7 linked regions of the Nothobranchius furzeri genome follow. The protein of the gene in region 4 interacts with the protein of the main gene of each other region in a pairwise test. Links are inferred from orthologs where the notes say so. Each region holds a gene or a part of one and is shown on either strand. Other genes may lie near its edges.

Region 1 (3,607 bases), on a different chromosome or scaffold from region 4:
CCTTGATTGCGACATATCACTGGAATCACAAGAATCCTAGCTGAGACTAATTCATAGACATAAAAAATGTTACTCATTAAAAAATGAACAGCGAAGGGCTTGGCTAAAAAATTTGTCCAATCGCTCAGGCTTACACTGAACCCAAAACGGCTGCAGGCGGAACACTCTGAAGTAACCACTGACTCCACTCCCATTCCAGTCAGTGAATAATTGCTAACGTCGTGTTTTGACATGGCTTGGTACACTTCGAACCACGTTGGCTCCGGTACTGAAAGGTTGTGGGGGAAACTACAGAAAAGGCCGTCCAACTGGACCAAAACCATTCGAGCCACACTTGAGTAGGTCTATATGACCCTGTGGTGGACTGGCAACTTCTCCATGGTGCCCCCCACCTGTCTACTCCCTCTGACCCTAGTATGAATTAAGTGGTACAGATAATGGAGGGAAGGATTACAAGCTGGGATCCGTACCTGCAAACACCACCAGGATTATTGTTTATAGTTGTTTTTTTGTTGTTTTTTTTTTTGCTTAAAGCCAAGGTTCTCCCTGCTCTGGTGCAATGTCCTGGTCCAGCTGTAATACTGAGTCTTTACATCAGTTAAATAGTCATCATTGTTGAAAAAACAGTCATTAGTGCATTGTTTTATCCACGGTGCATACAGTGACCGTACAAACCTATAGGGGAGTGTTGGGTTTTAACTCAATCTAAGGAAATCCTTACATAGCTCGTGACAATAGCTGACAGGATAGTCATCTTAAAATAGTCCCTTTCCTGAGCGGTAGTTAAGATTTCAGTGGGTCAGGAAAACCCTAACAAAACCTCAAGTTCAGTTTCAGTGAATAGTATATCAATTTGTTTACTTTTTAATTTAGTCTAGATTCATGTACTGTATATAGTTTTTTGTTTGTAATAAACAAAAGTCTTGGAGGAGCTTTGTTCCTGCTTTCTGCCAGTCATGTTGTCCTCTAATCAGCTGATTTATGACCCTAAACATGACTCATCTATTCAGTGGCTGCTAGCTGCAGTAGCTCTGTGGCTCAAGACCACAGTCTTAGCAGTCTCTCTCTGTATCTTAGCGGGTGCCTCTAGTTGACCTTCCTCTCGGCGTACACAGGCCAAGGCCTAAATAATAAATGAGCAGCCTGGAAAGAGCCAAGTGCGTGTGCAAGCAGTGTAATACCACTGGAAGTTGGAGGTAAAAAGTGAGTTTGCTAGAGTTTACATTAGTTTTTACAATGAAACAGAATGTTGCACTCCAGATTATAACCACTTTTCCCTCTTGGCTTCACCCTGTGGATGTCCCCAACCTGCTGAAGTTTGTGTTGGACTGCAGTAGTGTCAATCATTAATGAAAAGCGTCCCACCTTCTCGGGTTTCCTTCAGTAGAGCAGCGGGAGAGGAAGGAGCTCAAGGGTTAAAGATATTGGGATTGGGAGTGCAGCATGTACATTAGAATGTAACGTAGCTCTCACGTCTTCTCTGTCTTCCAACAGAATGTCGCCAAGGATGAGGACCAAGTCACTGAAACCATCATACCAGCCCTTCATCTAAAGGAAGTACACCAACAACAAGTTAGGGAATGTTCTCTGTTTATAACGAGAGGATTTTATTCCTTAAGTTGTTGCTGAACATCTTTATTTCTGCATGATGGATCTATTCTTCCCCACATGGATCCTCAAATGTCCTTCCCATGTTGAATGGAGGTCTTTGGCACAATCTGTATCAGTTTGAGTTTAATATTTGCACTTTTTCATCTTCCTGTTTGGATTTTTGAATGTATTACTGCAAAATTGGCCACAGTTGAAATGGATGGAAGGACTGGAAAATGGCTAAAACCTTGGATTGTTAGGTTTCGGACATCGTTCTGCTACGATTTTATTCTGACACCATAAGTGTTTATAAAAATGGAAAAAAATCAGATGATCACCTTTTTAGTCACGGTTTAAATATTTCTTATGCACATTCTTGTGTGAAAAGGGTTTTTTTTGGGTGTTACAAAAGGCCGTGATGTAGGCCTTTTTGGCCTGAGTGAAGGCTGAAGAGACTTGAAAATTTAAATCCCCAAATCAGAGAAAAGATCAAATATTCTCAAAGCTAAGTGGAAAAACAGCAGAGTAGCAATCGCTGCTCGCTATGGCAGCAGATCACAGTGAGCTGCTGGCTGAGATGGCAACTGTTGGACGTCTGAGTGCCACAGAACGTCTAAAACATGCCCAGAAGAGACGTGCTCAGCAGCTGAAGGCTTGGGCACAGATGGAAAAAGATGCAACGCGAGGGTCGCGGGCCAAAGCAGACAGGAAGAAGAAACGCACCACCAAAGTAAAGTTTCCTGACTCCGTCACTCTCCTAGATTCATCTGCACGAAACGACGTGGAGGAGGGTAAGTTAACCACACACCATGTGCAGCTGTTTGAATGAAGTGAACTCCTCTGGATACGACACACATTACCTGTAATGGGCTCAACATTTTCTTTTCAAAGGGTTTTGTTGTTGCCTGAAGGATTGAGGCTAATTATAGTGTAATCTCTTCCTTGTTGAGCAGAATATAAGATTCCATTGGTCAGTCAGTGTCTGTGTGTGTATCATGTACCTTCATTTAATTTAATTATTAGATTTTTTTAAATTTTTTTTAGTGACAGAGCTGCTGAACAGCGGTGTGAGCCCAGATCTGGTAAATGAAGATGGATTGACGGCCCTGCATCAGGTACACACCTCGGCTGAAGTAGTTGGTGCTATTGTTCGTGTGCATTTTTTTCATATTTGGAAACAAAAGAAGACTGAGAAGTAACTTTGGTCACCGTAACCCACATTTAGCTCCTAAGTCACATGGACTGCCCGCACTCAAACATGCTCCCGTTAGCTCTACTGCTAACGGGTCACCAGCAATACTTCATACAAAAAATAATCACATTTTCCTTAAACCTGTGAAACACTGAAAAATATTTTTAAATTATTATTTATGCTTATAATCTGTTACTCTTGAGTGTTTCATGCAGGCGGAACATGAAAATAGTCTCCTACACCTATCTCCTGCTTTAGCTTCTGATAGAAAATAGACGGTGAAACTCTAGGATTAGAAAATCCTGACAGATCTACGTCACACTGTCACTTAACATTCATGGACTCGCTCATCTTGGCTTGTGATGGGGTTGGTCGGTTTAGCGTCCAGGAAACGGCAGAGAACATCTTGACTAGTAGAAGCTAACCATTAGCATTAGCAACCACGCAGCAGAACTCCTTCAGGCTTGTGTTATTTGTGGAGATTAAACATCAACGTTGCATAGTGAATTGAGTAGAGTTGCGTTGCTGTTAGCCAATCAGATGTGATTGGCTGGCTGGTGTTACATAAATTGGTTTAACTTAAAGAGCAAGTCACCCCTTACAAGAAGCGTACTTCACTCCCACTTCATGTTTGAAAAATGCAACAAATGCTGTTGCCTAGCAGACGGAGAGGGTGGAGCCACTACAAATACACACACTCACGACATTGTGACATCATAATCTACCAGTTTACATCATAGCATACCTCTTAGCCAATGGCGATGTCAGATTTAAATTCAAATGCAGTGAAGAGTTTTTACCTGACAACGGTACAACACTGACAGT
Region 2 (4,283 bases), on a different chromosome or scaffold from region 4:
ATATACACACACATTAATATATATATATATATTCAAAATTGGCAAAAGTGCCACCACAGCGAGTGCCTGAGCTTGTGTGCCAACCCTAACCCAATCCTTTGAATTACGTTTGCAGTAAAATTCCCAGCGCCCATCATTTTCACGCAATTTAACAATTTGAACCTAACAAATACGGATGCTCGTATATTGATTTGCTGCTTATTCCAAATATTTGCTACCTGTTGCATTCACCATGGATGTCATGTTGCTTTCAGGGGACGCAAAAAGTGAAAACACGGCCAACTGGCTGACTGCAAAGAGCGGCCGAAAGAAGCGCTGCCCGTACACCAAACACCAGACTCTGGAGCTGGAGAAGGAGTTCCTCTTTAACATGTACCTGACCCGAGAGCGCCGCCTAGAGATCAGCAAAAGCGTCCACCTAACGGACAGACAGGTTAAAATCTGGTTCCAGAACCGGAGGATGAAACTGAAGAAAATGACCCGGGAGAACCGGATCCGGGAGCTCACGTCCAACTATGGCTTCTCGTGACGCGCGAGAAAGTGGTCGAATAAAAGCAGCAAGAGGAAAACTTTCCACCTCTTTATCAGTCTCCTTTCATTTCACTGAGACGTGACCTTCTTTTGTCTCTAGACACGCTCCACGTGAGCGCGTGTCTAGAAAATCATATTGAAGTCACACACACACACACACACACACACACACACACACACACACACACACACACACACACACACACACACACACACACTGTAAAGTGGCTGATTTGATATAATTTTTTTCTGCATGATGTAAAGATTTCCTACGCTGACCAGATGTGCTCCATCATGTTATCATGTAAGCTGTAGCCTCAGCCAGGACGCGTGAAGGACGATTTTAATGTATATATGTGTTTTTGTGTCATGTCTAATAAATTATCATCTGATGAGTATTTCTGAACCACACATGGATTTTTGTCCGAGCGTAGCCACCAGAGACTTTTTATTTTAAAGGAATTAAACACAATGATACTCTGGGCTCATGCACATCAGAGGTTCACTTGTGTGTTTTGTCTGCAGCTGCTAAAGAACGGAGGTGAACGCTAGTGGAGGGTCGGAAATAATTAAGATATTAGGCTGTAAGCCGCGCTGCTGCATGCCCAGCCGGCTATTGTAGAGTTTTATGACTGGCTGCTATAGAAGCTTTCTCCCTCTCCTCGAAGAGCAGCGTCAGTCGTGAGTGAGCCTTTCGGACGGAGAGGAGGCCCGGCTCACAGCCATACACACACACACACACACACACACACACACACACACACACACACACACACACACACACACACACACACACACACACACACACACACACACACACACACACACACACGTGGATAAATTCTGCTCCAAAATCTGGAAAAGCCACCGAGCATCCGGGTGAGTCTGCTGTGATTTTTGATTTTTCTGCGTCTTTGTTCTCGTTGTTTTGATCTTCGTTTAAAAAGAGGATCTGGACACGTGCACGAGCGCCACGGCTCGTTCTGATGTGTCGGGTCGTGTTGCTGCCGAGGCCCGGATGACTGTGAAGTGGTTTAGGTAGTTTCATGTTGTTGGGGTGCTTTTCTGACTCTACAACAGGAAACTGTCTGGATCGCCCCAGTCCCAAACACCGAGAGCGAACCGGAACCGCCTGCAGCTCAGATATCATGGGGAGGATAGAAAAATCGGTGTTTGGAAAAGCAAGCCTCTGGATGTCATAAACCAGGGAGGGGGTGGGGGTGGCCCGCGGTGTTTTCTCAGATTCCTCCTGCTTTGTTTTTGTTGTGCTGCTTAAGATGATGCATTTGTCTGCTGGTCAGAGCTCAGCTGCAGTGTGCGTCGTGGACTTGTGACTAAAAGCTGGGAGTGTTTTTCTTCTCCTATTTTTTCTAGTGAGTAGTAGTGAGTGACGCAGAGACGCCAGACAAGGCCTCGGTTACGACCACTGCAGTGGAGGGGAAGGGGAAGGTGAATGGGGCAACAGCGACCTCCGTCGGCAATAAGACCGGATGCTTCCACTGCGCAATGGTGGCTCTCACAAAGGGAAGGGCTTTATGGCGATATTTAGATCCGCCAGACAGGCTGTTATCTGCAGAAGCAAAGAGAAGTGAATAGCCCCTGCGGTAAACTGCAGGGTGAAGAAAACACCCTGATTTAGGTTTACAGCCTGAGAGCTGTTGGCAGAGTGGCGTCTGTTCCTGCTGCAAAAGTGTTTGTCTATTCTTGTTTGTCTATTCTGGATTTTAGTGCACAAAAAGGCGCACAGCCGCCCCTATCCTGAACGCATCTTCTGGTATTAAACTGTGCAAATGGACAGCGGGACTGTGCGTAATTGTGCGATTTTCTCTGACTCTACGTGCGATTTTAATCGCAACAGCAGAATTCAGATAATCTGTGCGTCTGGGATTCTCTGTGGCCTTGTAGGGGTGTTGGCCAGCTTCTCTTTTATTTGCGAGCAATAAATAAACCACATAAATGAAATAAAAAACTCAAGGTTGGCGCAACAAAAACCACCGAAGTCAGTTAAGAAACGCCAAACTGCACACGTACCCTACACACATAATCTTTTTAAATTTTCAGTTTTTAAATAACAAGTTGGCTAAACCCTTTCTAGGAAATTCGCGCTTACTACATACTAATGTAATCCCGTGGATAAGGAATTATATAACAGCTGCGTAACATCCTAATCACGTATGTATTTTCAAATATTGTCCAGTTTTCCAGCGCGTCGATGTTTCCCGTCATAATCATCATCAAAACAGCGTTTTATAAAATAAAATACTATTAAAAACAAAAATGGACAAACAGTTCAGTCCCTGCAAACTCTCCGCACCACCTCCATTTAAAACATGGGAACTAAACACCATTTAAAGATTATTTTTAGCGCCGTTTGTGTGTAAAATTACGCCAAAGCCCAGGCAGCTGCAGGTACTAACGCACTCGTTAATGGCCGCGATGAAGCAGCATATCCGCGATAACGTGGTGCAAAAGATAAACAGATTAACTCTCTGTATTTTATTATTTACTTTTATGAACAAGCACATTGCTTTAAAATGAAACTATATTGTGGATTTGTTTTTGTTTTTTAATATTTTGACTTCTCCAGATAAACTCTAAAAACTCAAACACACATTTAGCAAAGCTGATGAATAAATCACTTATTATTTGTTAAAATATCTGAAACGAAGTCCGAGTCTTGAGCGCATTTCTGGTAATTTATCCAAAATGTTAGAATACGCTTTGTTTCCGCACGGCTCAGTGTGTTTCAGATTTTAAAATAAATAATGCTTTGTTCTTAAAATAATATCTAACGGGTTCTAGATCCTCTTTTTAAATAAGAAAACGTTTAAATAAAGTGTGTTAATGTTGTAAAGTGGACACACAAACATTAATAATAAAGCATGTGTTAGTCTGTATGCGGGGATGTATCAGAGAGGCCATTTCAGGTTTTTATTTACAACATTTAAGAAGAAAATCCTGGGAGCTAAACGAGAATAAAATATTTAAACGTTATTAGTTGACGGGTTTTACTCGTTTCGTCTGAAAACTCACCTGCTTCTGAACGATGTTGAAATGATCTGAGTGTGTCTAAAACAACAGAACCTGAGCTGAATTCAGCCTTTTTGTGTTTTATTAATGATCGCAGCTTCCTTCACTGAGTTTGCTGTATTGGCAGCAGAGGAGCTGCTTACGTGTCCAATAAACCATCCCGTAAAAATAATCCTCCAAATACATGTAGTATGTCTGAGGACGGCGCTGCTGAGAGCAGCGTCACCTTCATCAGCATTTATTTATTTTTATTTATTTTCTGTGTCGTTCGTGTTTATTTTCCCTGTTTTTACATTTCTGACCAAATCCCGATCGTTGGTAAAAATCCGGGTTGTTACAGCAGAACGGGTGAGTATTTAATGACTGCAGGGATTGATTTATCTTTTATTGTTCAGCCTTATGATCACGTGACTCCGCTGTCCAATGGCGTGGCGGCGTGTCTCCCCATTACTTTCCCACTGTAGTTCTCCGTGGGGCCAAGTTGCTACTTGATTTCTCCACATTGTTATTTTGCGAGGCTCTTTAGTGCGCGCGCGCGCGTGTGTGTGTGTCAGAGGTGTGTGTATGTGTGTGTTTGTGTTTTGCCCTTTTGCATGTATCTGCTGTATGACTGCGTACATGTGAAAGTGCCATTTTTCTGCCATGTCGACGTCCGGAACATTGACTAGCTACTACGTCGATTCCCTCATTCTGCCCGAGAGCGAGGAGGTCTCCATCCCGCG
Region 3 (4,312 bases), on a different chromosome or scaffold from region 4:
GTGTGTGACAGCTAATGGGACTTTAACTTCATTCTTTGTCTGTGATAAGCGCCATATAAATAAAATATACTTACTACGCCAGAGCAGCTCAGATAAACACAAACATCATGATGATGTCACTTTCTGCCAATATCTGACTGCTCAAAGGGCCACAGGTAATAACTGTTGTCTATGACCTTTGACCTTAAACTAACTGCATGTTTAAAGCCACGCCCCCTCTATATGTAAACAGATGGACACACCCACAAATACCCTCAGGCAAATGCAATCATGAACAGTAATTCCAGCTGATCAACATGACATTGCTACATTAGCCGCTAAACGCTGCCCATGAACACAAAGAACAGTCCCATGATGCTTTGCACCTGTGACCCCTGCCTCTTGGGTTTCCACACACCTGTATGTTTTCATACCTGATTGCACTTATTTTAAATTGTGTTTAAACATTTAACACGTCATATTTTAAAGGCACACTTCGCAGCTTTGCTTGCTTTTAGCACCCTCTAGTGGCCGTGTATTAAAACCAAAAGTGAAACTCCTCGCTGTGCTTTAGTCTTTTTAACACCTTAATCTAATCGCGCCTTCTATAGTGTCTACAAGGCTGGTTCATCACTAAATCAAATACATCAGCTGTGTTCATGATCTAATGGAATGCAGGAAACATGCTGGAAGCAGAATGCAGCGCCGGGTATGTCATCTCCATCTGCTTCAGGTGGCGCCTGAGAAGGGTCTGCAGCCAAACTGGGTGGGTGAGGGTGAGTGACATGTCATTAATCCTGTGAAGGGTCATTTTGGAACATAATGACTCAAGAAAATTATTTAAAAATAAGAACAAGTTACATCGTGTGGCTTTAAGATTCAGTCTCTCGTGTCAATAAAAACAATAAAATAAGAATAAAAATTAAATTAAGAGTTTTCCTTGTTATGGGGAGCAAAAACAAACGTTAGAATTCTAAATATGGAAAAACGTGTTTAATTATAAAATGTGTTTTATGAGCTAAAAGTGGCTCAACGCTAGATGTTAGCCAGGAGCTAACACACACGGATGTGGGACTGATGCAGAACACCTGGCGTGCCGTGACGTCACACACATAGTTTAGCCATTGGGGTTGTTTAGATTTATTCCGTGAGTTTTATGGTGTTTCTCATGTGTGTGACCACGTGAGCCAGGTGTGAACTGACTAATTATCATCTAAAAGGATCAGATGTTTGAGATTGTGAGTGAGCTTTAATTAACCATCGCTCTGATCTTCATTGTTTTCCAACGGATTATAATCCAGATGATGCCGTTACTGCAGGGCATTCCCACCAGGCGGCGGAGGCGGGCTTCTGGAGCCTGTTAGCCACGCCCCTCCACCGAGCTCACACCGCGACAGCGCGCAGTCCACCGGGGATCGACGCGGAGCTGGGGCGCAGAACCCACCGGGCGGGGAGCCAGTACCCGACACACTACACTGACACCGGAACCACTGAAGCAGTTCGGTTATGAATCCGGTGGGGAGTTACTATTGAACCGGACTGGACCCGTAACCGGAAGAGAGATGCTGATCCAGACCGACTCGGTGCGCCTCCGGGGCTGGTGATGCCCACCGAGCAGGGATCTCCACCCAGCAGCAGGAGGAGCGGCTCGGAACCACAGCCTGTCGGGGTGCAGAGGATGGTGCTGGTCCGGTTGAGGACATTATGGCTAACGGAACCGGTACCATCATGTTAAAATGCGTCGTGGTGGGAGACGGTGCGGTTGGTAAAACGTGTCTGCTGATGAGCTACGCCAACGACGCCTTTCCGGAGGAGTACGTTCCCACGGTGTTTGACCATTACGCAGGTAGGGCCGGTTCCACTGGGCTCGGATGGGTTCTGGTCTAATGAGGCCCAGGTGACCACCAACTCCGATGCTCCTGACATCAGAACCACTTGTTTGCCTCCTTCATTACAACCGGGGGGGGCTCCACCCACCCAGCCCCTCCCTCCAAGGAGGACCCCCCACCCACACACACACACACACTCTCTCTCTCTCTCTCTCTCCCTGCAGTGAGCGTGATCGTGGGAGGGAAGCAGTACCTGCTGGGACTCTATGACACAGCTGGCCAGGTACAGTTAGCCCCCCCCCCCCCCCCCACACACACACACACACACACAACAGGTGATGGGGTGCTGGGCGGGTGGGGGTGGGGTGGTGGGTCAATGGTTCCATTATGGGGAGAACAAGCGTGCAATGTCCAGTAGAGATGTCACGTGGACTTATTCTCTCACTGAGAGGAGTTTGTACTGAAAACACACACACACACACACACACACACACACACACACACACACACACACACACACACACACACACACACACACACACACACACACACACACACACTGTATCCTTGTGTAAACCGTCCATTGACTTCCATTCATTTTTGTGACTGTATTATGCCTAGCCCATACTCTAACCATGACCATAACCAGTGCTGTTCTATTTCTAATCCTATTCTAAACAAAAGTTAATTCACACCAAACCTCTAGAACCACGTTTTAGGGTATTTTGTCATCGTGTGGACCAGCCAGATGTCCCCACAATGTGGAAATGTCCACACTCTACAGGTTAAAGTTAAATTTGTCCACTTATGCTTATAAAGACAAGCACAAACACACACACACACACACACACACACACACACACACACACACACACACACACACACACACACACACACACACACACACACACACACACACACACACTTAGACATAGCAGCATAAATATTTTGTATAAAAAAACCTTTTGTATGAATTATCATTTATTTCATTTGGATGCTAATTAGCGTCCCTAAACAATAATCTAATTGTTGATATCCTTTAGCTAATTTCTGCTTTTCCAGTTTTGTGGTTTATTATTATTATTACCATAAATCCTCTAATACAGGCCGGTATTCAATTAAAGGCCGGGTCTCCAATTTTGGCCGGTGTCGGAGTCGGCGGAGGTGAATAATGGCCGGCCTCTTATTGTGGCCGGGTGGAATGTGGTAACAAGCAAGTACGGGGGCGGTTGTGTCATCGTCTCACTTTTGATTTGCGAGTGATAGACCGCGAGGGTAACTTTAACCGTGCGGAGACGAAGAGGAGGCGAAAATTTGATATCAAGTTCAAAGAGACCGTGCGCTGCAGAACACTGGGGAGCAATAGGGGTTGTATGAACTAGTCGACTTCACTATAGTGACTTTTTATGCCTGTCGTCGACTAGTCGCTGTCACGAGATAATGACCGGCAAGATGCAGCCCTCGGAAAAGACAGCAGCCTGCTGTCAGCAGGTGACAAGCTCCTGCGCTCGGGGGGGGGGGGCAACGCGCTCTGCCAGAGCGTCGGTACTGACACGCGATCGTTCATGTCGGTTCATTTCCTTTAATGTTTTCTGTCTTTTATTTGCACCTGATGTGTTTCGCTGCTGTGGAGCGGGGCACTTCACCTTGTCCTCCGACGCACTGATCACTGATGCGGCCGCCTAGCAGGGAGCTCTCCGCTGTTTTTGCGGTCGGTAATCTGCCTCCTGAGCACGGCCACAGTAACAATCAGGTGTTGCCAAATTATTTAACACGCGATCGTTCATGTCGGTTCATTTCCTTTGATGTTTTCTGTCTTTTATTTGCGCCTGATGCGTTTTGCTGTGGAGCGGGGCGCATCAACTTGTCATCCGGTGACGCACTGATCACTGATGCGGCTGGCGAGCAGCGAGCACTCCGCTGTTTTGCGGTCGGTAGATCTTTTAGAACTGCAGTTCAAAGGTAACTCATGAGGTGAATATATATGAACCCAGGTAGCAGTTTTTCTTTAGGATTGAGAGGAGATGCAGGAAGATAATAAACAGACAGGACAGAAAAATAGTCAAATAAAAACAAGTTAGTTTTTGTACCTGGTGATTGCAACAAACGGACACCATTGAAGGTAATCAGAAGTGAGGAACAGAAAATGAAATAATTATTTTAATGTTTAGAGCAGCAGGCACTCCGAGAGGCTGCAGGCGCATCAGTGAGTTTGCGGCCGCTGCGCAGGGGGAGGGGGGAGAGGGCTGAAGCAGAAACTACCGTTGTTAAAAGAAATGTGTTTAACTTTGAAAATGTGGGCGCAATATTAATTGTCAAAAACTCCAACGAACCATTAGTTCATTTTGCTCAAATAGAAATAGAGGCCTGCCTCTAATACTGGCCCTCCTTCCAATAAAGACCTGGAGCTTGATTAGCTTGAGTCAAATACAGGCCCGGGCCTGTATTAGAGGATTTACGGTATTATTTCAACTGAACTTATTGAGAGACTGATCTGCAGTAAA
Region 4 (4,086 bases):
GATCAGAAAAGATGTTACATTTGCTGCTGGGTGTGAATGTTAAATTTGCACAAAGAGAAGCATGTGTGAAAACCAAAGAGGACTAAATACATTCCCTTACAGCCGCAGAGGCCCAACACTCCTGACACGTCACAAGAAGCTCTGTGGGGTTTTGTCTGATCAGGCAAAAGTCACAGGGGTTATCACAGCCGGAGACCTCAGGGAGTAATTGCAGATGAGTTTTATGTAAAGCATTAGGTAAAATGAGCCAAATAAGGCTAAAGCATTACAATTCTTTCATTTTTCTACAACACTAACTGTTTTTACTCATTTGCCACAGCTTTAGTTGGTAATAAACAGTATATTTGACATGTGAAGTCTCTTGTTTGTGTGAGGCAAAGGATCATGCCAATTACTGCAGAGATATTTAGTTTATTTGATCAGACATTCAGGAGAGACTAGGAGTAGAGCCGCTGCTCCTCCATATCGAGAGGAGTCAGTTGAGGTGGTTTGGGCATCTTGTTAGGATGCCTGCTAGACGCCTGCCCAGGAAGGTGTTTCAGGCATGTCCTGCCGGCAGGAGGTCCCCTGGTCGACCCAGGACATGTTGGAGAAAGTACGCGTTGGAGAAAGTACATCTCCAAACTGGCCCAGGAATGCCTTGGGGTCCTACTGGAGGAGCAGGTGGAGGTGGCTGGGGAGAGGTCAGCCTGGAACTCCCTGGTTGGGATGCTGCCCTCGCTGCCCGGATCCGAATAGGCAGAAGAAGACGAGACTAGATATTTAGTACATTTATATATTTCTAAACTTTTAAAATAATTGCTCAATACGGCTAAAATATTTACATATTTTTCCAATTATAGTGGGACATTTAGATGTATTTTATTACTTATATATATATATATATATATATATATATATATATATATATATATATATATATATATATACATACACACACACATAGATAGATAGATAGATAGATAGATAGATAGATAGATAGATAGATAGATAGATAGATGTGTGTGTGTGTGTGTGTGTGTGTGTGTGTGTGTGTGCGTGCGTGCGTGCGTGCGTGCGTGCGTGTGTGTGTGTGTGTGTGTGTGCGTGCGTGCGTGTGTGTGTGTGTGTGTGAGAGAGAGAGAGAGAGAGAGAGAGAGAGAGAGAGAGAGAGAGAGAGAGAGAGAGAGAGAGAGAGAGAGATTTTTGTGAAAAAAGGTAAACTTTCCTTTATTCCAACCCCTTGCCTCCTCCCAACACCACCTCTCGTGCTCGTACACAGGCGCGCGCGCGCATCCAGAGCTACGTCACGCGCTGGGAATGCAGCGAGGAATTGGTGTCTTCGCTAAAGGCCTTCAGATCCGTGACAAAAGTAGGTTAACGACGCTTCAACGACAGCCAAGTCTTCAGGACAACTTTCACTAAGTCGTTAACGTTTAAATGGACTCGTAAGTCGTGTTTGTGCGGCTCGGTTCGGGCGGTAGGTGGCGGTTTGCCGCATCGTTTCCTTTTTGGTCGTGATGAAAGTTAGCCCGGTGTTGTGCCGAAATAAGCTCCCCGCCGTGATTAGCACCTCTCGGATTCATGACATGCTAGCAAACATGTAAACAAGGCTGCTATTAAAGTTAATTACGGGTAGTTTTATTTCATTATGGAGTGTTTGATCACTTAAGTGCGGTGATTTGCACATGCGTGACGCACAGACAGATTTAGACCAGACAGATTCTCTGGTTTGACATATCGTTGCTGCTGCGGAGCTAAAAACGGGACAGTATCTCAGACGGATGTGAGTTTATCTGCTTTTCTGTTTCAGCCTTTTTTTCCCCCCTTTGTTATTTGTGTGTAGATGAGACCTAAGGACAGGCGACAGTAAAAGCACTGTGAAGGTAGGAATGCTGATTTTTATTTTGAAAAAACTGACCAGAAGCACAGTGGTGTTTTTTATTTTTAGTTATGTAATTTATGTTTTTATATCTTTATCAGTAGTAACTGGCACACAAACAAACATTTAACTATCATTATCTTTTATTTCGAAAATAAGTGTTTTATGTTGCCTAATTGTAAAATTAAATAATGAATGTAAATATGAGATTTGCAACAGGAAATGACGACTTATTGTGTTTATTGGGTTATTGCGTTGCACAAACATTTGATATGCTTTATTTAGAATTTAAAAGTAGGAAGTTCTTTATATTTATTGTCTTTCATCCAATTCAGGACTTGGTACTGATGATTTACTCTATGCAGACAGTTTGAACAATAAGTAGAATTTGTTATGCATGCTCCATAGGAAACATTTGGCTCCAAACCTTGAGGGGGATGAAACCATGGAGATTAATTTCCCTGGGCCAGTCTGCCTTAGATTTGACTGTGTGCTCATCCGGATTCAGACAAACGCTTTAATCGGGACCACTGCGCAGGTGGTGATCACCCTTTCCTCAGTGTGAACTCCAGTTTAACAAGTCCTGAATCTGCTGGTTTTACATGGATCACATATCTTTAATTTGAACGTTAAAACCAGTAAAAAAAACATCATGTTAAGGGTTCAAATCTCCTGTCTGAAATGTATTTATATGAAGCTACATCGACATCTGATCTGACATTATAATCCTCTTAACCACGAGGAGGGTCACACCACCCACGTCCAATCGGTGTGAGTGGGTTATTCATTTCTGCACAGGGACTGCACTTGTGTCAGATTTCACATGGCTCGTTTGGGTGTCTGCAGTCTGTCTCTGGAGTTTGTGTCTGCCATTTATTCTTGTTCTGGAAAACACGTTTCATTAAGTCATTTTCAACATTTGTAATTTAGTAATTATAACTTCTGTTTTTGGTATTGGGGGGGGAAAACAAATGTTGTTCATCAAGATTTTTTAAATCGACAGGACAGAGTCTTTACACCCACACGGGTCAAATCAATGTCCTCCAGTAAAATAGTCCACAACAAGTCTTCTGTCCACAACCCAACACATTTTACTGCTGAAAAAATGTCCTTTAGGTTTGTCTCCTTCTCTCTGTAATCTCTATTAGCATCCTCAAATTAGCTGATCTTACCTGATCAACAGGGGAAGGGTCGTCGCCTCTGCTGTGGCAAAATTGATTGGCCAACAGGTCAGACGTGCCGGCCCCATTCCCATAATTAAGGTGCAGTTTATTGTTGATTTTTGTGTTCGCAGACACAAACATTGGAGCAAAGAAAAGAATGCTGTAGCTACTGTGAGGCATGAAGGGGGTTTGGGTCACCAGGTGTCTTTAAAGAGCAAGTCACCCCCAAATAAACTTTTTTTTGCTGATAAACTAAATAAACGAGTGTCTAATCGTGCTGCAGACACGTGTCGTCAATAATTTGGCACTTCAGTGCATCTTAGTTAAAATTTAAATATTCTGCCTAAAACTGGCAGTGTTGTGCCGTTGTCAGGTAAAAACTCTGCACTGCATTTTAATTTAAATCTGCCACTGCTATTGGCTAAGAGGTATGCTATGATGTAAACTGGTACATTATGATGTCACAATGCTGTCGTGAGCCTGAGTGTGTGTGTATTTGTTAGCAGCTCCACCCTCTCGGTCTGCCAGGCAACAGCATTTGTTGCATTTTCAAACATGAAGTGGGAGTGGAGTTAGACTCTGGTAGGGGTTGACTTGCTCTTTAATCTGTGGGGTTTAATGAAATCTGGAGACCTTTAAAGCTGTGTGTCCTCTGCCATTTTTGGTCTGTTTGGGGTTGATTTTCCACTCATTCGACAATCTTTGGTGCTAGGCTGTTTTGTGTCGTTTGCATGTGGACGGTGACAGTTATACAGGGCACGCTCGGCTTTAGGTGTTCTGGATCTGCCCAGTACTAGAACGCTTGTCTCAGGTCATGGGCCCTCCAGCAATATCAGTGAAACACCGGCACCATTCTGACACGTTTTCAAGGAAAACAAGAAAGATCCAGCAGTTCCAACTAAACATTTAAGATTCCCATGTCCTGGACCACTGACCATCTACACAAACCTTTTTCCTAAAGGTACCAACAACTTTATGTTTTTAATTTCTACGACTCCTTTCATTAAGAGTGTCCGGAACGTCTCTCAGGTGGAATTCATCCCTTTGATTTCGCTGCTGTTA
Region 5 (4,336 bases), on a different chromosome or scaffold from region 4:
CCTGCGCTGCATACCCGCCATGACCCGGATACACCACTTTACATTTGTTTTCGTTTGCAGACTCGTGTCTGCCTTTTTTTGCTCACGTTACAGATCAAACTTATCTGAAGATACAGAGATGTTCTTGCAGACACATTGCACAATTTAAACCTAAAGCTCCAGGGTGATCCAAAAGCTCCCGGATGGAGGACTAACTTTAATAAATGTTCACACAATGTCATTCACGAACAAAGACTCTGGTTTTGATACATTTAAACGTTGGTATTTACAGGCCCGTGTGGCCCAGATAGGCTGCTCAGGTAGAGGTGTACGTGTCCGTGCCAGTGGAGGACACCGTGGATGAGCTGGGAGAGGGCGTGGACGGCGCTGAGACGGACCTCTCAGAAGCGGCATCGTCTAATTTCTCTTGATTTATTTCTTCCGGGTGCGATGACTGGACCTTAGCCGGCAGCATCCCCTCTTTCTCGCGCTTTTTCTGCTTCATCCTCCGATTCTGAAACCAAATCTTCACCTGAGTCTCATTCAGCTGCAGCGCAGCAGCAATCTCCACTCGGCGCGCCCGGGTCAGGTATTTGTTGAAGTGGAATTCTTTTTCCAGCTCTGTCAGCTGCTTGGTGGTGAAGTTGGTCCGGACGATGTTTGGCTGGCCCGCATAGCCGTACTCGCCGGAGCGACCTGGGGACAGGAAGAGGGATTCAAGTTTATTTTCTCACCCAAAGGACGCACAAACTGTGCGATTATCCAAAAGAACCAACTTTTACGCAGCAGGCAAAGAAAACCTAATTATTTTACATATAAAACACACTCTATAGTTAAAGACAAATGTCTTTAAACCAACTTTTAAAAGAAAGGGGCGCACGCTTGAAGTGGAAACATGGACATTTAATGCGTTTGCGCGTCAACGCGCTCGCAGTGTCAACATCTCCTGTGTGGATTCCAGTCTGCTTGACCGATTAAAACCAATTAAAACCAATAATAGCAACAGACTAGATTCCCACCTATCTCCCTCGTGCTGGTACAGCTCTGCACCCACCTGTTTTCGGTGGATTTCTTTTGACTTTCATCCAGTCGAAAGTCTGCGCAGAAGATGCGCTCTCTGACAGAGGTGAGCAGCAAGCTTCCAGGTGAGCTGCATGCAGAGGTGACAGCGGGTTGGAGGCCCCAGGATAAGAAGGTGCCTGTTCATGACCCCCGCCATAAGCAGCATACTGCAGCTGGCCCAAGGTGGCAGCACTGTAGCCATGGCGATGCTGAGACACCATGGAGGAAGAGATGTTACCTGAAAACATCAAAGGGCTGCACTGGGGGAATGCAGGTGCAGAGTCTACTTCCTGGTTGAGTGTGTAGTGGTTGTACGTGGCGCAGAAACTTTGGGGCCCATAGTTAGAGCCACAGGCCGGGTGGGCCCCATAGGAGAGACCCATAGAGGTGGCAGTAGGCTGGTAAGAGGCCGGCTGGTGAGGGATGCTGTCAGGGGAAGTCCTGTTTGCCATGAAGTGCTCATCCGCCCCGCAGCTGCTGATTGCAGCCCCGCAGGACTGGAAAGTTGTAATCCCGTGGTCCGAGTGGAAAGCCCTGATCGAACATGAGCCACCCTCACCGCTCATCACCGAGTAATCTAGGAAGCTGCTCATTGTAGCATCGTTAGTCTGGGACCAGGAGACTGTCCTCTCCCCCTCTGATCTCTCCACACTCTCACCCTAAAGTGACCGTGCCAACCTTTACCTTTCTGTCCCTATCAGTGCAGGGAGGGGGGTGCTGGGGATATCAATGAACGGGCACTGTCACGTGGGCACGGGTCAGCCAGTGAGGGTCCTTGTCCCTTTAGCCGGTGACAGATTGGTGTTTGAGGGGCTATTTAAATTCCAGGCGCTCGTCGATCAAGGTGACGCGCGTCGCCACTAATGTATTGGCCGAGCAAACAATGGGCTGGGAGGCAGACGGAGGTGGACAGCTCCGGGACACACGAGGAGCTGCTGAGACGGTGAACCCGGTGTCTTTTAACCCCCCTGCTGCGCAATCTCACACTGAGGAGAGATGTCATCCAAGGTGGACCGCTCTGCACTCTGACCTCAGGTATTTTTAGAACAGAGAAGTGTGAGTCTGTGTGCGTGCGCGCGTGTGTTGGCGTCTCCGTGCGTATAAGCCCTGGTGTCGCATGTGTCATTCTGTCCAGGAAGGATGGATGGCTGAGAGTGCGCGCGCTCGCTGCAGCCGCGGGCTATCTTTAGGCTATTAATGTCCCATTCCGATGTGAAATGTTTCACGCTGGAACATTAAGGGATTTTCTGGGCAAATATTGTTACAATGTGATGGAGAGGACGTGTTTCCCCTGTTAAATACATCCATCCCATCGCACCAAGCCACCTTCCAGCAGAATTTCGTTTCCTCTTAAGGTCGCAGCAGGAGCAGGTTTGTGCATTTCACGTTACGAGGAGAGATGATCCGGTCATATATTCATAAAACACCGCAAAAGGATGCGCAAAAAGCTCAAATTACGTTTAAAATGTGCCTGAAGTAGCGCACAAACGTGATTAGGAGACAAAACCATTAAGGTGATGTGATATTAATGTTTTGTTCCGTTCTCGGGTCATAGGTCAGCCATCTACCAGAGTTCCAGTCCCGCATGTATTCATTATGCATGTATGGTGATCAAATGATATAATAATGCGAAGCCTGCTAATGCGCATATGTAGCCCGAGGTGCGAGTGGGCTGATTATCCTGTTAAGTTCATCAAATAAAGCTGCTGGGAAAACGAATGGTCACGGGAGGCGCGAGAGCGGAGGGGAGTGAGGGGGTTGTAGCAGATGCCCAACCTCTAACCGAGGAAGGAATAGAGGAGAGGGAGGGAGGGAGGGCGAAGGGAAGGATCAGATGGAGGGATGAGCGCCCCCTCAGGCTGAAGATAGACATGCACTTAAATAAACGTGCTTCTGTTATTAAGTAGATTAATTCAGCTCAGAAAAGCGTGATTCAGATTTTACACTCTATTTATTTTTCCTACAAACGTCTAAGTTGTCTCACTGGTACTCAAACAAGCAGTATCAGTAAAATATTAGCAACATTCAAATGTGCAGCTTTTTTCCATTAGTCAAATGTAGTTCTACTTTGTCTTAAATGTAATGTTTTAGGATGTTAGAAAAACAAAATTAGATGTGAAAATGTTCAAAGACTTGTTGCAAACTACATAGCAGAGGGAGGGAGAGAGAGAGAGAGAGAGAGAGAGAGAGAGAGAGAGAGAGAGAGAGAGAGAGAGAGAGAGAGAGAGAGAGAGAGAGAGAGAGAGAGAGAGAGAGAGAGAGAGAGAGAGAGAGAGAGACGAACTGGTTTCCATTCCACCCCCACCCCTCTCCAGCAGCTGCCTCTGTAGTGAGTGGGCGCGGAGGATCCATCGCGTCTCTGCTGCTTGAGGCCAGCCGGGCCCCGCGGAGATTCCGCGGCTCTTTGTGTGGCCGCGGGGGCGCAGAAAAGGCGCGCTGTCTCGGAATGATTTGGTTATGCAGGCCCGTAGTGCAGGAGAGCAGCATCTGCCCCCTGCTTCCTCCTACCACCCCCTCATCTGAACACACGCGCGCGCGCGCGCACACACACACACCCACACACGCACACAGCCAAAGTTAGAGCTGATTTTCTGCTTTCGGCTAAGTTTGACACGTTTTGAAAAATCACTGCAGCTTTCATCTCAACTGGTGTTTTTTAGTGATTCTGAGTTAAACTGGATTATTGAGTTCCCATAAATCCAATCAAAGCTGCGCAAGAGTGCTAAAATGTTCATAATCCCTTTATTGAAGTGAGGGGTTTGAAACGCACACAAACCAGTCTTGTCTTTAAATAAAAAAAATCACAGATTCCACCAGTGTGAGTGGAGAAGCGACGCTAAATAAGAGCAGCTTTAACCTGAGCTGCTGCTGCTGCTGTCTCCGAGTCAGAGCCGCGTGTTAAACAAGCCATAAAAATGAATTATTACCAAACGCACGCAGAGAGCTCGGCCCCTTTTAGCTTAGGAATCGGGGAGTCCCGCATGAAAACGTAAGTGGGGTTTTTATTTGTGCACATTACGCCACAATTGCTCTCTTTAATGTCCGCCTCATTCATGCCACGGAGTGATTTATGAGCTCCTGAAGGCAAACATGGGTCGGGTGTTTGCTTGCAACTTGCACGCCGTGTTTGGAGCCTTGTCATGCTCAGATCCTGGGTGCAAATTTGGTCTTCTAATTATTTATTCCTGCAGCTGAAATTGGAAATAGCTCAAATTATGGCTTTGCGCATTTACGAAAAGAAATTATTAAATATAAAAAGCTGCTTACACGTTTTACTCGGAAAAATAAACATATA
Region 6 (4,324 bases), on a different chromosome or scaffold from region 4:
TAAGATCCAGGACAAGGAAGGCATCCCCCCAGATCAGCAGAGGCTGATCTTTGCTGGCAAGCAGCTTGAAGATGGCCGCACCCTCTCAGACTACAACATTCAGAAGGAGTCCACCCTCCACCTTGTCCTGCGTCTGAGGGGTGGGCAGTAAAGTCATGGTTCCACAGTTGGTTTCATTTGCCATGTAATGCTTGGAAATTAAAAGTTACATTTGTTTTTAACTTGTGACCAAAAATGTTCCGTTATCACAATAAAAGGTTAAATTTGCTTTTGCTTTCATTTGAAATGTTTTACAAAAATTGTTCAGCAGTTTCCCCTGAAGCCAATTAAACAGACTTCTAAAAGTTGCAGAATAGACCAATTTTAGATGGCAACATGTAAACGGTGTTAACAAAAAAAAATCTGCCACAATTGCCTTCAAAATTAAATCTCAAACTTAATTCCAAATCCCACTAGATCTCCACACTAACAGCTCATAAATATCAAATGCATGTAAAACTTAATGTTAGCATATTTTGAGGGCAGATCTGAGCTTTCAGAAGGAAGTATATGTATTTGTGGTTACAGCAAATAATTCAGACTTATCTATCTTTGAAATTGTTTCACAAGCAGGGAAGAGTCATCAAAACATGTTTGTGAAACCTAACGTTTAATTTAAAGCGAAGGTTACAATACTGGGATAAAGATGGAGCATTACCCTTGTCTTGGCATCAATGCACTGCTACCTGCTTGCTTTAGTATCCAGTATAAGGTACTTTAAAATCTATGCATGGCCTTAGGGCCTTACTCAACATTACTTTTGAGCTGCTGCTGTTCTACTCCTGTGGGTCTAAGGTCAGCTGATGAGATGGATGCTCCTGGAAGTCCCAAGAATGAGACCTAGCCTCTGAGGTGGGGGCTTTTAGTGTAGTCTGGAATGTGCTGCCTTTAAATATTAGGTTGGCATCATCGCTGTCTTGTTTTAAATCTCTTTTGAAACCCCTTTTTTATGGCTTTTAACTCCGCATGAGTCTTTTACTTTTAAGAGTAACATCTAAATTAACTTTTTTGTCTGTAGATGTGTAATCAGTGTGGCAATTTGGTGCAACTTTAAATTTAATTTCGGCCCAAAACTTTATATCTCCATCTTCAGGTTAAAAACTGCTCCACATTTATTTAGAATCAGCCACAGCTGATGGCTAAGCTGAAAAACGTGACATTGTCAGCAAATCACCACGTGGCTGCAGTGCACTGGTCTCCAGCTGAGGTAGCCGCACCTCCACCTGGCTCAACCACTCACCTGCCGATGTGACAAGTTGGCGCTCGGAGCCGCTTGCCCCATGCCTCCTTGAAAAAAACGCCCTCCTCTCCTTTTTCATCTAATGATCGCGGTTAACAGGAAACCCTCCAGAATGCTGCAGAATCTGAGTCTGCTATTTCCCTGAGCGGTAAGTCTGCTGTGAGTGTGTGCTTGCGTGCATAGGCGAGTGTGCACGGTGACGTGTGGATTGATGGTGTAGTTCGCTCCTGTGCTCGGTAGGGAGCGCTGCCGCGCGAGCAGTTGGATAGAGCAGCAGCATGTTGAATGCGAGAGAGGCGGCGCGCTACCGCCATGTCACCTAGGGAGAAACAGTTAGCGCTTCTCTCTGTTTTAGGATTAATCACCTTCGCTTTTTACTACATCCCCACTTTTCTGTACGCTACTTTAATTTTTGCAGCTTGTTGTTTTGCTTTTTATTATCACAGCGGAGAATCGTTTCCCGCCAGGTTAGGCCCGAATCCTCGGGTTGGATTAAACGTTTCGGGCGTGCTGCGGCGCTGGTCGTCGGGTTGGACAGCGACCGGCGTCTCGGTGGCCGCGCGGAGTAGAACGAAGAACCGCAACCGATCCGAGCACCATCACCGGGAGACAGAGGGACTCCCGAAGCTCAGTAAAACCGGGCTCTGTCGAGGAGAAGCCTTAGCAAGTGACTCGATTCTTTTCAGCCCTCGGGATTTTCTCATGGGGAGTTACATCGGGAAAGCCGAAAGTCCAGCGGCCGTCTCTGGGAGGCCAAAAGCCGGGAGAAATCCCCGGGAGCAACTGCGAGAACAACTGTCCAGACCCAACCATGCAGTTTATACCCCGAACAGGAGGCTTTCGTTCTCTGGGTGAGTTAATTAGGTTTATTAAGCTCTGATCCATCTGTTTAAATTCACGTGTTGCATGAAAAAGAAATGTTTATAGCGTTAGCTAGCTTGTTAGCACACAAAACCCACATGTTTGAAACGTATAAAGCTCTAACCAGAACTCTTTAACTTGGAATCGTTTTAAAAACATCCAATAACTTTGTTTCATTGGCTTCTTTTACTCATGCTTTTAGCTAAGTTACTGTGATAAATCTTTTGTTTTGATGGCTTGTTGTGTCTACACGCTTGTGTTGTCTAAAAACTAACAGAGCATTTTACTAACTTTTCGTTAAAGTGCATATCTTTACTTTTTGGTTAGGATGAGCAGCATAGTTTCTTTTTCTATGCAGCTGCATGTTTCACATGTAAAGTGATTGTTTTATATTGTTTTATTTCTATTCCATAACATCTGTACGTTTTAACCTGCTGAAGTTGTTCCTTCCATTACAATCTCCTCTGCAGGGAGCCTCTGGGTGCAGCTAACAGGTTCACCATCACCCCCCAGCGTCGCTACCCCCTTCAGCAGCCTGGAGTCTCCTCAGTAGGAGTCCTGCCTCCTGTCAAGTGGGATGGTTTCAGAAAAAAGAACATCCTGAGTCCTCGAAATTCCCCTGCTGCTCTCAGTCCCGTCACTGTAAAGATCGCCAGGCCCGACCACAACATTCCCAGGTCTCTGCAGGTTAAATGTTTTTGGGCACGACCGTTTATTTTTAATTTTTAATTTTTTGTCTTTTAATTTACTATTTGGATAGCCCTTGATTTGTTGCTTGAGGTCTTGCTACTTTCAGCCGAATCAGTGCTGACTGTCCTCTGCTCTGGTTTTTAGTGTGAATCATCTGAGTTGTGCAGGGCTCACCAGGGTCCCGGCAGACCCCTGCTCCAGAGAGAGCGTCCTCAAGGTGTTGAAGGAAAGCCGCAAGAGGGAAGTAGAGGATGAGGACAGGAGCTTCACCGCTGAGCAAAGAAGCAAAAGAAGGTAGAAAATTTGTTTAATAGATTCTTGAGGTACTGTCTGCTCAGTCTGGACAATAGCAGCTGTCTTATGGTTTCTTTTTATGGCTTTTCTTAGGCGCAATGACAGCGGTGGAAGTTCGCACTCTGCTTTTGAGCCTCTGTTGCCTAATGGAGCACCATCCCAGCTGGTCCCTAAGTGAGTAAGAATTGTATGTAAAGCTGAATCATAATCTTAGATGTTGGACAAAGCTTTAAATGTTGTTTTTATTAATGTTCTCCAGACCAGGGAGCCTAAAAAGAGGGATGACCGCATCCTTAGACGAGACCACCATGAAGAGGTCTCGCACCTCCTCCATCAGCTCTAGTTCTGGAGTTCATGCCCCGAGAGGAACTTCGGGTACCAGAAGAAATGCAATCCAAAGCTCCTACAGCTCTTCGATAGGTTTTAGTCAGGTATCTTCATCTACCGGAGTCTAGTAAAGGGGGTTTTTGCATAGCAAAAGCAAATCGAAGCATTTTTTGTTTTTCTTTACAGTGGAAGAAACCATCTGCACCCAGCTCTCCTCTATCGAGCCCTGAATCGTCTCGCTCTCAGACTCCAGAGGGATTTGCCAAAAGACCCAGGTCTGTTTCTGCATGTTTGTCATCATTAAACCACATTTAACTACAAATTAAAGCTTTTTTTATGTTTTCTAATCAACAGAGAGGATGACACTCAGTCTCCAAGCTCTGCATCCTCAGTGAAGTCGGACCACACTGCATCAGACAAGACCCTTGATACCAGTAATTCCCATTTATCTGTAGATGACTTTTCCAATTTAGATGATTCATGTTCAAAGTATGGTCACAAACAAATATGATGTTGTTTCATAATATTGCAGTAAAACAAACTCCGGTGATCAAATCCCCAGTCACAACCTCTGCAGACTCGACTGGAAGTGGTGGGAAGAGAAAACGGAAGATCCAGCTGGTGTCCAGCCACCGAGATGATCGCATCTCTCTGGTGAGGAGCGCTGATCTCCCTCACATTTGTTTATTTGCATCCAGATTGCATTATTGTGGTTGTTCATGTGCAGCCTCCACCTCCTGAGCTGGGCTACACCATCACAGCCAAAGATCTAGACGAAGAGAAAAAAGCTGCTATCAGTAAAATCCAAAAAGTCCTGGAAACAACTGGTAAGAAAAAGCCAGCTGCAGGAATAAATTCACATTTTTTATACTT
Region 7 (4,140 bases), on a different chromosome or scaffold from region 4:
GGATGCTAATGGAGGATTAGCTGCTGTCTGTTGAAGGAGTGACACCATTTTTCTGGCTGGATAAAAGTGTTAATTAATAGGTCAAATTAAGCTTTATATGTGGAATCAGATGTTTAAAAACATTCTTTTGATTTCATTTGTTTGAAAACACAAATCCCTGCAGTTTGAAGGGAACATTCTCCTGTTCTCTACCCTTTTATTCTACCCTTTCTCAGTGGCCTAGTGGTAGAGTGTCCGCCCTGAGACTGGGAGATCAGGGGTTCGATTCCTGGTCGGGTCATACCAAAGACTTTGAAAAAATGGGACCCAATGCCTCCCTGCTTGACACTCAGCATTAAGGGGTTGGATTGGGGGGTTAAACCACCAAATAGTTCCAGAGTGCAGCTGTGTCTGCAGCTCCCCCAGGGGATGGGTCAAATGCGGAGAACAAATTTCGCACACACACCTGTGTGTGTGACATCTAATGGGACTTTAACTTTTAACTTTAACAATCCATGACCTGAATTCAAAATAACTTCAGTTTGAGCCTTAAACACTAGGTGGCAGTGTTGCTCTAAGATCCATCATACTGGGAACTAGTGATGGGTGTTTTTCCATCCACAGTTCAGACTAATAAATGGTGGTAGATGATAAACTAACTCCAGTTCTCACCCACTACAGCTTCCATCCTACTGACTGAAACATTTGACACAGATCTTAAAGGATAACTAGACATGCGTGTATGTTAAACACCTTTAATGAAGCTTGAGCCATAATTAATGTATTGTTTCAAACTCAAGCTCCAGCAGAAGGTTTGTTGTTTATTAAAATACCTGTAAGAGTTTTATCTGAAATCCTCTGACCTGTAGATCACTTTGACATTGAAATCAAAATGGTAAAGATCTCTTTAAGCTTCAGTAAATCAATCTTGGTCATATCAAAGCAAATTTAATGAAACTTTCACAATGTGATTTCTGTGTGTTCATCTAAACTAATGAAGCTGTAAACATCAGACTATAGAGATAAACCGATATGGTTTTTCTATTGCCGATACTGATGCTCATATGTAGAGGTCACGGTCAGTTATGGCTGATATGTGCTCCTGTTTTTTGGGTTGATTTTCATGGCCGATGTCTAGACGTTTTCTAACATATCTGCATCCTAAATTGTCACTAATAACATCTGTTGATGCTCAACATTTCTGAACCTGAATCAGTTTCTGCTGGTGGTGGTCATGGGGACAGGTCCCCAGGGCAGCTGTGGCTCCAATTAGCTCATCATCACCAGCGTGTGAATGGGGGGATGACTGACTGTGTTGTGAAGCGCCGTGGGGGGTTGTCGAACCCTAATAAGGAGCTATACAAATATAGATCATTAACTGTTTTTGAACTCTGATTTTAACCATTTGTTGAATCTTAATCTTGTACACTGATCAGTATTAGGATGAAACATTAAACCAGAGTCACACATCAATAAACTGACCAAGTATTACATATAACTGAGCATTTATCAAGCACTTGTTAGTCAGGAACGTAAAATTAGGGATGCATGATATGTCTGCGTCAGTATCGGTATGGCCGATGTTAGTCATCTGTTAACATATCACATTGGTCCAACGAATAAAACTGGGCCAATATCAACAACCGATTATTTTTCCAACATGATTCCATTTGTGCATCTGTTTCAGAGGGAGGAGGGGTGATTATCTGTAATTGTTTATTCATGTGACAGTGATGGTAATCATCTCAGAAGCGTAAATGTGTGTGGTGTGTATATAATATTGTAAACACACACACACACACACACACACACACACACACACACATATATATATATATATATATATATATATATATAATATCTAGTTTGCACTTTATAGAAAAAAACATTCAAAAATTCAGCTTGCATAATTTCACAATCAGTATCAGTATTTGCCATATTAGGGATATTAATATCGGTATCGGCCCTAAAATGTCATATTGGTGCATCCCTTGTAAGTATACATTTGAATAAAATTTGGCAGCATCGCCGGGCTGCCCACAGATGTGCCCGTTTTTAAATTGGCTCTATAAAAGTGGTATATATCAGCCCAATATAGCGGCCTGTCCCTACATCAGAGTTTGACATGGAGCACTAAGCAGTCTAATGGAATGTAGAAATAAGAGTAAATTCTAAAAAAAACACATTTAAATGAACAGGTAGGATAATTAACACATAATTTTAATGATGTATAAAATATATATAAGCTAAAAGTGAGCTTATTCTCCTTCCTTGTCTCCACTGATGTTTTTCCCTGAGGCTCTGTTTTGCGTTGTAACCTGTAGCAGGTGTGGCAGCCTCCCATCACTCCTCCTCCTTTAAAGTGTTTCAGGATCATGTTTTAAAAACACAGATATTGTTTCATCTCTGACGTATCCATTGCATTACGCTCTACAAACAGCTCTGATTACGGCCTCCACTGTTGTTGATGAGTGTCACGTATAATTGGCGACACTTTAGCTGCTACCTGATCTGCGCTACTTATGGTTGTGCAACTGCAAATTTAAAACAAACCGAGTTCCGTTGGTTGACATTTTTCAGGGATTTTCCCATTTCCTGTGACTCACAAAGACTCATTTACATTGTTTGGTTTGTAAACAAGTCATGTACCATTGTGATAATATGATATATGCTGCTCTAAACATCACTGAAGCGTGCGTTTAATACCTGATTCCTTATAACATAGGTATCCTGATTCCTTTATGTGAGTCTGGGACATGCACCTTGAGGGAAGCCATCATCATCGGGAGCATTCTCACAAAATGCTCCATTCCTGTGCTGCACTCCAGGTTGGACCTCCTCACACAAAAACACACATGTGTTAAATCAAGTCTGCTGTTACATAACTTGTGTGATCTGTCCTTTCTTTCAGCGCTGCAATGCTTAAGTTGGCAGAGATGGAGTACAACGGTGCCAACAGCATTTTCCTGCGTCTGCTGCTTGACAAAAAGTACGCCCTGCCTTTCCGTGTTCTAGATGCCTTGGTGGCCCACTTCCTGTCTTTCCGCAACGAAAAACGTGTTCTTCCTGTGCTGTGGCATCAGAGTCTGCTCACCCTGGCCCAGCGCTACAAGGCTGACCTGGCCTCAGAGCAGAAGGCAGCGCTGATGGAGCTGCTCAAGATACAAACACACCCGCAGATTTCTGCAGAAATTCGCAGGGAGCTACAAAACTCTGAGTCGAGAGACACTGAAATCGGGCTCCCTATAATGGTTGAAATGGACTGATTCAGTCTGATGTGGTGCACCATTCTCCACATTCATGTTCCCTCTTTACAAAACAGACTTTGCTGTTGTTCATATACAAGGAGGAATTTAAACTTGTTTATGGACCTCAGAGATGTTTTCTGTGTTCTGCCTTGACTTGTTTTCACAAGTGAGACTCTCACCAGTGGTGATGTAGCTGCAGTTTCACAACGGTAACACAAGTCTCTGAGCCTGGGAACACAAACTCCTTTCGGATTAAAGTCGTAATTCTGAAACCTGTCAGAATAAAAACCAAATTATACCTCATAAATTGGTTGTTGATTTTAATTTATAGTTAACATTCGCTAACCAGAAACATGGAGTATGTGAAAAGGCCTCTCTGAGAAAGGTAACTCAGTATTTAATTTATTAGGAGCACTATAGCAAAGATTAAATGCGGAATTGAGAGGCACATTTCTAGGTATGAACATGGAGCAAAAATGATTTTCTAGATGTTTTTTCTGGAGCAAAGGGTACGTGCTAAAATTTGCAGAGTTAGAAATGAAAGTTGCACAAACAAAATGTGTCATTACAGAGCTGGTTGTAAAAATTCCAGTTAAAGATGGCAGATGGGCGTCAGTGGGAACAAATTATTACTGAAGTTATGATTCAGCCTTTTTGATTATAATTCGATTATTATATCTAATTTTCTTTGAAAATGTGAAAAAGTTATTGGAGAAAATGTTATATGATAAAAATGAACATAAATACAACTTAAATCAACATATTTGCCAAATTATAAATTTTCAAAACTACAGATGGGAACGTGTTGTGCATTTAAAGAAGAAAAAGTATAAAGTTAATCCTTAAAACACGTTTTTACAGAAACAAACTTTTCTATTATGTTTTGTTGACTTGTTTTAAAGTGCAAAACTAA

What was found.
Region 1: the proteins of trip6 (region 4) and ppp1r16a interact in binary tests that used the Homo sapiens proteins (3 or more experiments, as listed by UniProt). The two-hybrid records come from large-scale screens. The link is inferred for Nothobranchius furzeri from reciprocal best matches to the Homo sapiens genes TRIP6 and PPP1R16A.
Region 2: the proteins of trip6 (region 4) and hoxa9a interact in binary tests that used the Homo sapiens proteins (3 or more experiments, as listed by UniProt). The two-hybrid records come from large-scale screens. The link is inferred for Nothobranchius furzeri from reciprocal best matches to the Homo sapiens genes TRIP6 and HOXA9.
Region 3: the proteins of trip6 (region 4) and rho-related GTP-binding protein RhoQ interact in a two-hybrid assay, tested with the Homo sapiens proteins (2 studies listed by BioGRID and IntAct). The two-hybrid records come from large-scale screens. The link is inferred for Nothobranchius furzeri from reciprocal best matches to the Homo sapiens genes TRIP6 and RHOQ.
Region 5: the proteins of trip6 (region 4) and hoxa1a interact in a two-hybrid assay, tested with the Homo sapiens proteins (2 studies listed by BioGRID and IntAct). The two-hybrid records come from large-scale screens. The link is inferred for Nothobranchius furzeri from reciprocal best matches to the Homo sapiens genes TRIP6 and HOXA1.
Region 6: the proteins of trip6 (region 4) and pom121 interact in binary tests that used the Homo sapiens proteins (3 or more experiments, as listed by UniProt). The two-hybrid records come from large-scale screens. The link is inferred for Nothobranchius furzeri from reciprocal best matches to the Homo sapiens genes TRIP6 and POM121.
Region 7: the proteins of trip6 (region 4) and bysl interact in binary tests that used the Homo sapiens proteins (3 or more experiments, as listed by UniProt). The two-hybrid records come from large-scale screens. The link is inferred for Nothobranchius furzeri from reciprocal best matches to the Homo sapiens genes TRIP6 and BYSL.

What each region holds. Positions count from the first base shown.
Region 1 is NC_091747.1:54,993,115-54,996,721, forward strand, and holds part of ppp1r16a (protein phosphatase 1 regulatory subunit 16A), read left to right. Parts: intron 1-1,494; 5' UTR 1,495-2,134; coding exon 2,135-2,381; intron 2,382-2,634; coding exon 2,635-2,705; intron 2,706-3,607. UniProt on the Homo sapiens protein: Inhibits protein phosphatase 1 activity toward phosphorylase, myosin light chain and myosin substrates.
Region 2 is NC_091751.1:29,595,197-29,599,479, reverse strand, and holds the start of hoxa9a (homeobox protein Hox-A9a), read left to right. Parts: upstream 1-1,463; 5' UTR 1,464-4,203; coding exon 4,204-4,283. Other genes in the region: homeobox protein Hox-A10, read left to right, coding at 255-529. UniProt on the Homo sapiens protein: Sequence-specific transcription factor which is part of a developmental regulatory system that provides cells with specific positional identities on the anterior-posterior axis.
Region 3 is NW_027223037.1:4,057,936-4,062,247, forward strand, and holds the start of rho-related GTP-binding protein RhoQ, read left to right. Parts: upstream 1-1,466; 5' UTR 1,467-1,683; coding exon 1,684-1,825; intron 1,826-2,032; coding exon 2,033-2,091; intron 2,092-4,312. UniProt on the Homo sapiens protein: Plasma membrane-associated small GTPase which cycles between an active GTP-bound and an inactive GDP-bound state. In active state binds to a variety of effector proteins to regulate cellular responses. Involved in epithelial cell polarization processes.
Region 4 is NC_091742.1:54,147,263-54,151,348, reverse strand, and holds the start of trip6 (thyroid receptor-interacting protein 6), read left to right. Parts: upstream 1-1,230; 5' UTR 1,231-1,351; intron 1,352-1,353; exon of another isoform or gene 1,354-1,459; intron 1,460-1,825; 5' UTR 1,826-1,865; intron 1,866-4,086. UniProt on the Homo sapiens protein: Relays signals from the cell surface to the nucleus to weaken adherens junction and promote actin cytoskeleton reorganization and cell invasiveness. Involved in lysophosphatidic acid-induced cell adhesion and migration.
Region 5 is NC_091751.1:29,552,114-29,556,449, forward strand, and holds the start of hoxa1a (homeobox protein Hox-A1a), read right to left. Parts: upstream 2,803-4,336; 5' UTR 1,635-2,802; coding exon 1,034-1,634; intron 676-1,033; coding exon 296-675; 3' UTR 1-295. UniProt on the Homo sapiens protein: Sequence-specific transcription factor. Regulates multiple developmental processes including brainstem, inner and outer ear, abducens nerve and cardiovascular development and morphogenesis as well as cognition and behavior.
Region 6 is NC_091750.1:52,614,930-52,619,253, reverse strand, and holds the start of pom121 (nuclear envelope pore membrane protein POM 121), read left to right. Parts: upstream 1-1,431; 5' UTR 1,432-1,564; coding exon 1,565-2,130; intron 2,131-2,610; coding exon 2,611-2,817; intron 2,818-2,974; coding exon 2,975-3,124; intron 3,125-3,217; coding exon 3,218-3,298; intron 3,299-3,383; coding exon 3,384-3,555; intron 3,556-3,637; coding exon 3,638-3,726; intron 3,727-3,805; coding exon 3,806-3,885; intron 3,886-3,983; coding exon 3,984-4,105; intron 4,106-4,178; coding exon 4,179-4,278; intron 4,279-4,324. Other genes in the region: polyubiquitin-C, read left to right, coding at 1-151. UniProt on the Homo sapiens protein: Essential component of the nuclear pore complex (NPC). The repeat-containing domain may be involved in anchoring components of the pore complex to the pore membrane. When overexpressed in cells induces the formation of cytoplasmic annulate lamellae (AL).
Region 7 is NC_091743.1:46,638,435-46,642,574, reverse strand, and holds the end of bysl (bystin), read left to right. Parts: intron 1-2,704; coding exon 2,705-2,807; intron 2,808-2,890; coding exon 2,891-3,245; 3' UTR 3,246-3,534; downstream 3,535-4,140. UniProt on the Homo sapiens protein: Required for processing of 20S pre-rRNA precursor and biogenesis of 40S ribosomal subunits. May be required for trophinin-dependent regulation of cell adhesion during implantation of human embryos.